2 linked regions of the Arabidopsis thaliana genome follow. The protein of the gene in region 2 interacts with the protein of the main gene of each other region in a pairwise test. Each region holds a gene or a part of one and is shown on either strand. Other genes may lie near its edges.

Region 1 (4,126 bases), on a different chromosome or scaffold from region 2:
TTTCAAACAACCATAACTCTCCTTTATCGCATAACTTAAGATCATGATTTTTTTTGTTCCATTATAAACTTGACTCAAAGATATTTGATTCACTTAACTTGAAAAAGTTTGATAAAGCTAAAAACCTAATTATCCTTTCAAGTTGTGGAGAGACTAAAAACGACAAATTTCATGTGATTCTTGCTACAAAAGTGTTACCTAAACCGTAACAGAAAAATAAAGATCGCAATTTAATGGGACTACTAGTGATGTTTATCTGTTTTTAACTTTTTATCATAGAAGAAAGAAAGCAAAACGACGTCGTTTCGTTAAAATCTGCTTTGAAAACGGTTCAGTTGCCAGACTCTCTCAAAACGCTTCAGTCTCCAAGGAACCTAAAAAAGCTTCCTTTTTGGGACGAAGTTTCTTAGAGAATTTGTGATTCCGATTCTTAGGGTTTTCACCAAGCGTTCCTTCGCGACGAGCTCTCAATTTTTGAGGTTATTGATTTCTTCTTCTGATCGAATTTTCCGTATCTGCTAGTGAATTCTTCTTTCTCAGCTCAGGGTTTCTCAATTCTCCGTTCTCGATCTCTTGATACGATCGATCTTTCGAATTGAATCCATTTGTCAATTTTTCGTTGCAGTCTCGTTGGCGGCGCAATCATCATAGACTTTGGGGGATCGCTTGTAATGAGACGAATTTCAAAGTTTGGTATCTTTTACTTGCCTGAATTGACCAATTCGACTTTTATATAGAGACGTCTATTAGGGTTTTGTGTTGCTAAGGAGGTGGGATTATTGTGTACTAGAGGGTTCTTTTAGCTTCTAGGAACATGTCTGGTGGAACTCCAGTTGGTGGTGGTGGGTACATTAGGCAAAGACATAGCCAAGGTTATGCTTCTGGTGGTGATGATCTTGAGGATGATGCTTGCTCTAGGCCACAGCCTTTTTCTTTAGAGAATCCTAGAAGTAAAACCTGGGTTGAGATTTTGGAGAATGTGCTTTGGATTGCATCTGCTGTCTTCATTGTCTATTTTGGAGACAGGCACTCTAATATGATACATATTCTCTTACGTGATGCTCGGATCAAAAGGTAACATATTTCTTGATGGGCTCTTTTCACTTTGCTCTTTTTTGGATTATTGCTTGTGTTATATATGGCTAAAAAGAAAACATATGTGGCTCACTTTAAACTTGAAGATGGCCCTAGAGGTTTGAAGTCAATATTCTTGGTTATGATGGTTTATTGTCAAAAATGGTGTGGGAAAATGTAGCTTCTCTTGTCATGGTTTGGTGTAGTTTACTGAGATTTCAACATTGTTTGGGATGATGGTTCTTGCTGAAAACCAAAATAAACATAATGCATTCATTGGCCTTGTTTCCAGGATGCCTTTGTATTTCGGGATGTTGGGAATAGCTGTGAACATTATAATCATAATCTACGAAAGCATGTTATCTTGGAGCATGAGAAGGTTTGATGAGAAATGGGAACTGTGGAGTATCTCTGCTCTGCCTTTCATCACCCTACTCGGCATCATTTCATTTGGCCTGTAAGTAAATCACATTTTCTAGTCAATCAGGAACTACGCGAGTCTCATAATAGTTATGTGTGACAAAATTTGCAAAATGCAGGCTCTCCTTTGCTCTGTGGCCTATATGGGGCTTCTTGACTCTCCCCCTTCTGGTATGATCTCAGTCCATAATAAACTCGTCCTTGTAGACAATCTCATCTGGTTATGAATATATTGGTTTTTTTTTTTTTTTGATGATATGCAGTTCACATTGTTCATGGCATGCCTTGTTGTGTTCCCACATCTCATGATCATCAAATTCAGGCCTCAAAACGACGAACTCCGCATAGATTGATCTGTAGAGAATGGAGATAGTGTTATTGGGAACGTTGAAACCCTTTTGTTATTCAGAAGTCAATAAATCTGAAAGTGAAGGGGGAATTTGTTGGTTTGTGGTATATAGATAGATGAACTCATTGATCAATAGGGATCTTTTTTTCTCTTTACTGTTTTTGGTCTCTGAGATTGGTTCATGTCTTGTTTCGTTTCTGAGTTCAGTGAAGTGAAAAATATTCTCATTCAGTCTCCTTCAAACTCTAGTTTTCGACGAATTCAATCTGTAGGGTAAAACATTTGTAGTAGAGAAGGCTCATAAGCTATAAGACTACAACAAGCCTACAAAGCCACAATTTTACTAAGAGACAGGAATCTAAAGAATGCAAAGGGTAAGAGTAAAAAATTCTATGGATCAGAAAACAAATTAGTCATGCTAACCTTCATTTTATTTAAAGTTTTTTATTTTTGTCATTAAAATCCAAAAAACAAAAGCAAATGCTACCAATACAACAGACTACAAAATGTAGGAGAAATTTGGTGAAAGCATTATTGTGGTGGGATAAGGGAGAGGAAGAGAGAGCGATGGGACACGTAACGAGGCTATTGATAAACCCTTCGTCTTCCTCGCCACTTCTCCACCTCCGTTGTTGCCACCGGACTCTTGACCCTAACTCTGTCTTCTCTCTTCGAACCTCAATCACCAAAAGCAAGGGACGATTCTCTTGTCTTTTCTCCGGCGGCAACCAGAGAGAGGTTAGTTTTCTTACTTACTTCCCTTGATTCTTCGAAAGGACAAATCTTGTAGAATCTGCTGAACCCAATCAGAGCGTACATAACATGGGGTCGAATTGTCTGACTCTTTTTGAATGGTCTTACTCAATTAATTATGCTTGTTACTGATAAGGTTCTGAACAAGTTTAGCAGCTCAACTCTTAGCTATATGTCTACTGTATCTAGTCTAGGACTGGGTGTAGCAGATTAGATCCGCTGTGAGTTAGATTCGAGAGTAGGAGTTTCATAAGTTTGTGTTGATTGGCCATTTGGCTGAGAGTTTCAAGTTCCTCTTTAATCAACTCTCTCTGGTTTGGTGAATTCGTATGAGAATAGCAGTTGGTTAGCAATAACTTCATTCCAGGAAGTACAAAAACCCACACTTTCTATCTCTCTGAATGAAAAGTTTTATGACAGAGCGACAAAACTAAAGAGAGACAGATAAGAGGTAGCTTCATGATTTGGTGGCTAATACTCTGCCGTTCGATTTCCTTGATTGTGCAGGAGCAAGCTCGTAAATCATTGGAAAGCGCTCTTGGTGGGAAGAAGAATGAGTTTGAGAAGTGGGACAAAGAGATCAAGAAAAGAGAAGAATCCGGTGGCGGAAATGGTGGTAAAGGTGGAGGAGGAGGAGGTTGGTTTGGAGGTGGTGGTTGGTTTAGTGGCGACCATTTCTGGAAAGAGGCACAACAGATTGCCTTTACCCTCTTAGCAATACTTGCCGTGGTATGCTTTAAGTAAATGTATTTGGTCTTTCATGAATAAGACTTTTTGTTGTTGATGGTTTTGAATTGTTTAATGGTTGCTGCAGTATATGGTGGTTGCGAAAGGTGAAGTCATGGCTGCATTTGTGTTAAACCCGTTGTTGTATGCGTTGCGAGGAACACGGGAAGGTTTGTCTTCTCTAAGCTCCAAACTCATGGGAAGAGAAGCTTCCAAAGTGAGTGGTGACAACTCAGAGGAGATGTGGAAGAAGGAAGGTTCCACTGCTAAAGAGAGCGTTGTCCGGAAATGGGGAAGTGACTGAAACACAATTCTTAAAGCTGACTCAAGAAGAATGACTTTGGGTGTTTTTGTAACATCAAGATGAGATAATATGCAATCGACCTTTTCAGTTTTGTAATGGAGGATAGGTATTTTCTGTGAACAAGAAAGAGTGACTCTGTTTGTAACTTCCATCATCCATTTTTTTAACATCAAGAGGAGAGCAAATATGTCTCATAGATAAATGCTTGTCCACAAATAATGAGCAAGCTTAATGTTGTAGCCTGTAGGTTTGTGTCTATACAGCTTTTCTGTCGTCGCAATCTTAAAATTATAAAGTAGATGGAACCTCTACATACGTCTTATGGTAACATTTGGCCAAGCTCTAGCTAATCCAGACTGAAATCTTCAAGCCATATGATAACTTCGTTCCTCTGCAAATGCAAGACAATCACAAAGAACAGATGAGAGCCACGAATCAGACGAAAATGATAGAACCTGCGACTGAAGACAATGATCAAACCATCATTTGGGTATGTCATG
Region 2 (5,335 bases):
CACAACTGATAGATGTTGAGTGTCTAGAAATAGTTCCTGAACCTAGTAATACTAGCCCACCATATGATTCCAGTGGGTCAAAGAATCTGATAATAACTAGAGTTTATACCTTTCAACGCTAAAGATAAATCTGAGACTGGTATTCAAATCTGCTCTTATACTGCTCCAGGTAAAGGAAGCTGTCACTTCTCATCATCATCAGGAACAGTCAGGTATGTGTTTCTTTTTCCACAAATCAACTTCTTAACCTGTCAAAAAAGTGAGAAAAATAATTGTGATTAATATCTGCCAATTGCAGCACAAGCCCCCCAAGTCAAATGAGTCCACCAGATTTTAGTTCCCCACCATCATCTACATACCCACCGCCAATAACAACTCCAACTACAGGCATAACTGGCTCTGGACCACCCTTCGGCGTAGCAGAGCCAACAGGGCTTCCGAATTCAGCAACCTCTGTATCACATAGCCTTCTCTCAATATTTACAGCAGTTGGGATACTAATGCCACTGCTCAGGGAAAATTATCTTTAAACAGACAATAGTTTCAGGGTTTCAATCATTCTCTGCAAATTATGAAGCGCGTTTTCCATAACTATGATGCGATCTATGGAGCTCAAGAAAGCAGCTGTGATTTGCAAGAAGATTTTAATCCATGACCTAATTCTCACCATCTGTTCTATTGCTATAGTTTATCACTGAAAGTATATTTATTTAGTAGGAGATACTACAAAATCAAAGGGCTTAGGATATATACATTCTTGTAGACACATTAAGCATAATGTATCTCTTTACAGTTTTAGAAAATAAAATACTTAGGGAACGGTTAAGAAATACAAAAGCAATGTCAGACATTATTAACTATTAGAAAGATATAACAGAAAATAAAATGAAAGCTACTTGAAGCAGATACATACCTGCAGCACTCTAAAACAAGTAGGCACACCGAAAATGACAGACAAGCTCCATGATACCTGCAGCATTTCCAAACAGTTTCTAAAAGGATGACAATATCTTTAATATGCTCTTTTCAGCTCATAATCTTATAAGCTGAAATTTTTGATCTGGTTCCTTGTGGAATCATATGCGGCTAAAGATCAATCTGTTAGCAACGAATAGTAGCAAATACAAGCATCTCATAAAGAGCGGATAAATGCAAGCACGTTGAATTGAGTATTGAAATCGAGTAAATAATACAGCACATTATTTCTAGTCTCTGTATACACTTTGTTACAGTGATTTACAGATGAGTCCTTTTGTCAGGAGCATATTTATATCAAGAAAAGGAACGATACAACTGTGACACCAATTATGGCTACAGTGGCAAGAACTGAATTCTGATCAAATGCTTTCTGCAAGGTGCCTGCTCTTGAGAAATGCTGGAAAGCCAGAAAACAAGAGATTGCTAAAGAAAGGATAGCACCTTCCTGTTTCCCTCTGCAAGCGTATAAATTCAATGAGTCTTGACTAAAGAAAATAAAACCTTGATCTGAAACATTACACTCTTTTTGAGAATCTAACCTTATGCTCATAACTTGATATGGCGCCACAATCACCAAAAGCAAAGCAATGAAGGGCAGCTCAAGTTCAACTATAAACAAGGCATTGTATAAGAATTAAAAACATACAAAGGCAGGCACACTCTTATTTAACATGAAGATCTGATAAAACATGCGTGATTCCTTTCAGCATGTCTTAGTAATGGAAATTTTAGCCCCTGACGTCGAAAATTAGCATGAGTTTCATTCCAATTTCTTTTCTAGTAAATGGCAACTGAACTAAAAAAAATCCAACACTAGAATTCAACAACCTATAACCCAACCTACTTGAAGACGAATACGAACCTGGAAAAGAGAAGAACAGTCGAGTAAGAAGCGCCAAGAATGCTGCCCAGATGCCATATTCACCCCTGCAAGTTAGATGCAAAAGTGTGATGAATTCAAGACGCAGAGTATGAAAATTTCTGTCATCCAGAATAGCAAAAAAAGGAATAAAATCCACAAGCATAGGTAAATGAGCATTAAAAAAAGCTTACTTCATCCAGGAGACAATGCCCATTGGTGCTTGTAGTGCGAATAGTGGAACAACAAAGGACTTATGGATACCAGTACCCCTTGCAAACATCAATGCACTAGAAAAGAAACAACATTCAGTATAGAAATGAACTTATATGCTGCTGACATTATGAATCAGTGGAAATTATACAATTATCTATCACAAATCACTTTCACACATGAATTGAAGCTAAACTATTTCCCTGTACAATCATTTGCTATTATCCGATTAAGCTAAACTTGTAAGAAACTTCATACATTAGCATATCTTCAGCAGCATTCTGCGTTAAAATTCACAGCTAATGAGAGTGAGAGATCATACACGCAAGAAATTGTCGAGATCCATTGTAGATTATGAACAGACAACATTGGAGTAGCATAACAGACCACACTCGATCCTCTCTTTCGCCGCTTCTCAGCCCTCGCCGACACCGTAGCGGTTCGCTGACGATCAGCCGATAACCTACCAACCAACATTCATTTAGAAAAAGCCAAAATCCACTGATTGAGAATTTATGAATCGGGTGTTTCTGTGTCACTATACCTTAACGGATTGAAGCAAACAACACTAGTACTGTGACCTAGACCGGAGATATTTGAAGGACGAGGCCGGAGTTTAAGAGCGAGAAAGGGTTTCTGGTGGTGAAGAGAAACGATCCGGGACGATGAGAGACAGAGACTCGCCATGAATTGTTAAGATTAGTTACGGTGGTGGAAAGATCACTCCGTCATCTTTCCGTTAAAATTGAATCATTTGCATCAATATCATGATCGCTACGTGGACGGTGTAGATTTAGCGGGAATGCTTTTAAAGTGGGGCCCATAAATACGTGTTTGGAAAACGACAGTCGTTTAGTTCACAATCAATCAAAGAATCTTGAATCTCCACCGTTGTTGGCATCAATACGACTGCAAATCTAACCACGTAGGATTCCACGTCAGCTTTTAAATATCCCAATCCCATGTCGACCAAAGATTTTAAATGTGTATTGTTTTTACGTTTGTACATGAAAGATCATTTTTATTGCCAGCGAATAGTTGCCAAAAATGTACCAGCATTTCTTAAAGAGCGGATAAATGCAAGCACATCTTTCTTTTTTTTCCTTCACACACATTCTTACACTGATTAACATTTTTGGTCAGGAGCATATAGTTATAGCAACAAAAGGAGCGATACAACTGTGACACCAATAATGGCTACAGTGGCAAGAACTGAACCCTTCTCATATGCTTTCTCCAAGCTCCCTGCTCGTGAGAAATGTTGGAAAGCCAGAAAACCAGATATTGCTATTGCTATGATTGCCCCTTCTTGCTTCCCTCTGCAAGTTTATAATGAAGTCAATGAGTCTCGGCGACTAAAGAAAAGAAAACCTTGATATATATTAAAACATTACATTCTTTAAGATTCTAACCTTATGTTCATGACTTGATATGGCGCCACAATCACCAAGAGTAATGCGATGAATGGAAGCTCAAGTTCACCTATTAATGTATAACTTTAATTAATTAATAACTTGTAATCAACCTACATATTGAAGATGATTACGAACCTGGAAAAGTGAAGAAAAGTCGAGCAATAAGCGCCAAGAATGCTGCCCATACACCATACTCTCCCCTACAAAAATAAAGATACACAAGTTTAAGTTTAATGACTTCAATAGGCTGCTCAAGCATGCAAAAAGAAGAAGAGAGACCCATATATATCACCATGTTAATGAATATATCTCCATGTTAAAAGCTTACTTAATCCAGGCGACGATGCTCGATGGTGCGTGGAGAGCGAATAGTGGAACAACAACTGACTTATGTATACCAGTACCCCTTGCAAGCATCAATGCACTAGAAATGAAACACCATTCAGTATAGCAATTAACTTATGTTATTGACGTTATGATGAAAACAGAGGAAATTACACAATCATCATTAGCATAATTTCACCAGCATTATGTGTTAAGAAAATCACAGTAAATGAGAGAGATCATACAGGCAAGAAATGGTGGAGATCCATTGTAGACTATTGGCAGAAATCGGAGCAGCATAACAGACCACACTCGATCCTCTCTTTCGCCGCTTCTCCACCCTCGTTGATACCGTAGCGGTTCGCTGACGATCACCCGATAACCTAGAAACATTACAAACAAAAAGAGTTACACAAAATGCATGACTCGAAAGAATCCCAAATCCATTGTTTTCACTATACGGTACCTAAGCGGATTGAAGCAAACAGGACTCGTGTGGCGACCTAGACCGGAGAGATCTGAAGGACGAGACCGGAGTTTAAGAGAGAGGAATGGTTTCTGGTGGTGAAGAGAAACGATCCGGGACGATGAGAGACAGAGACTCGCCATGAAATTGTTTAGATTTAGTCACAGTGGTGGAAAGATTGACGGAGTGATCTTTCTGTTAAACGACTATATCACTGCATGAATATATGATCGTTACGTGGACGTGTTGATTTCGTGCTTTAGAGTGGAGCCGAGTTACACGTGATTGGAAAACGAGAGTCGCTCACTATCAATCAAAGAATCTTTGAATCTCCACCGTTGGAATCAACTCCAATTCAAATCCACCCCACTTAGGATACCACGTCAGCTTTACCATATCTAATTCATTGGAACATGACAAAATTTCATGTCGATCATAGATAATTTCACTAGTTTTTTTATTTATATATATTGCAAGTCTTATCATAAAATAATTGTAAAGCTTAACGCAAAATTTCATTGGTACCGACATAACTAATTTCAGTTTCAGATGTATATCTTCATCTTTTCAAATGTTGTGCCTCTGTTTTTTTTTTTTTTTTGCAAGACAGACTTCTGTCCAAAAAATAAGACAAAAAAGACTTGAGAGACAATTCTTTTTTTCTTACTGTACAAATTGCCAAAAGCTTTAACAAGAGTTGTGAGAGTTACAACATAATACCCACATAAAACCGAGTATTCATGGTTTTTTTTTTTACATATACTCCATGGAACCAAAAAACATGAAGAAAGAAAAAAAAAAAAAAAAAACAGAGTAAATACTCGCACAGCTTCTGCATGCAGCATTTAAAACCTGCAATTCGAAAACACACTTCCGCAGGGTCCTGCATGCATCAGTTAACTCTGCCTTTCACCAATATGTACGGTTAAAAATTAGTACTTAGAAAGAAAAAAAACAGCCATTATCACAACATTGAGTCGTCTCTCAACTCCTGTGTCAGCTTCTCTCTCTGCCATCATCATCACTGAGCTGAGAGTCGAGGAGGTCCATATTCTTAGATTCCTCATCAACAACCTATGA

The links. The genes of interacting proteins can lie anywhere in the genome.
Region 1: the proteins of COR314-TM2 (region 2) and AT5G20130 interact in a protein complementation assay, tested with the Arabidopsis thaliana proteins (one large-scale study listed by BioGRID).

The regions. Positions count from the first base shown.
Region 1 is NC_003076.8:6,795,075-6,799,200, forward strand, and holds AT5G20130 (sulfate adenylyltransferase subunit), read left to right. Parts: upstream 1-2,286; 5' UTR 2,287-2,323; coding exon 2,324-2,581; intron 2,582-3,103; coding exon 3,104-3,325; intron 3,326-3,410; coding exon 3,411-3,626; downstream 3,627-4,126. Other genes in the region: AT5G20120 (testis- and ovary-specific PAZ domain protein), read left to right, coding at 815-1,074, 1,367-1,531, 1,614-1,665, 1,758-1,847; HBP5 (SOUL heme-binding family protein), read right to left, coding at 3,992-4,087.
Region 2 is NC_003070.9:10,285,142-10,290,476, forward strand, and holds COR314-TM2 (cold regulated 314 thylakoid membrane 2), read right to left. Parts: upstream 2,764-5,335; 5' UTR 2,738-2,763; coding exon 2,595-2,737; exon of another isoform or gene 2,528-2,594; coding exon of another isoform or gene 2,514-2,527; coding exon 2,373-2,513; intron 2,128-2,372; coding exon 2,032-2,127; intron 1,906-2,031; coding exon 1,841-1,905; intron 1,588-1,840; coding exon 1,518-1,587; intron 1,434-1,517; coding exon 1,268-1,433; 3' UTR 926-1,267; downstream 1-925. Other genes in the region: AT1G29380 (Carbohydrate-binding X8 domain superfamily protein), read left to right, coding at 170-212, 299-530; COR413IM1 (COLD REGULATED 314 INNER MEMBRANE 1), read right to left, coding at 3,204-3,369, 3,463-3,532, 3,601-3,665, 3,794-3,889, 4,035-4,172, 4,256-4,398; ML5 (MEI2-like protein 5), read right to left, coding at 5,252-5,329.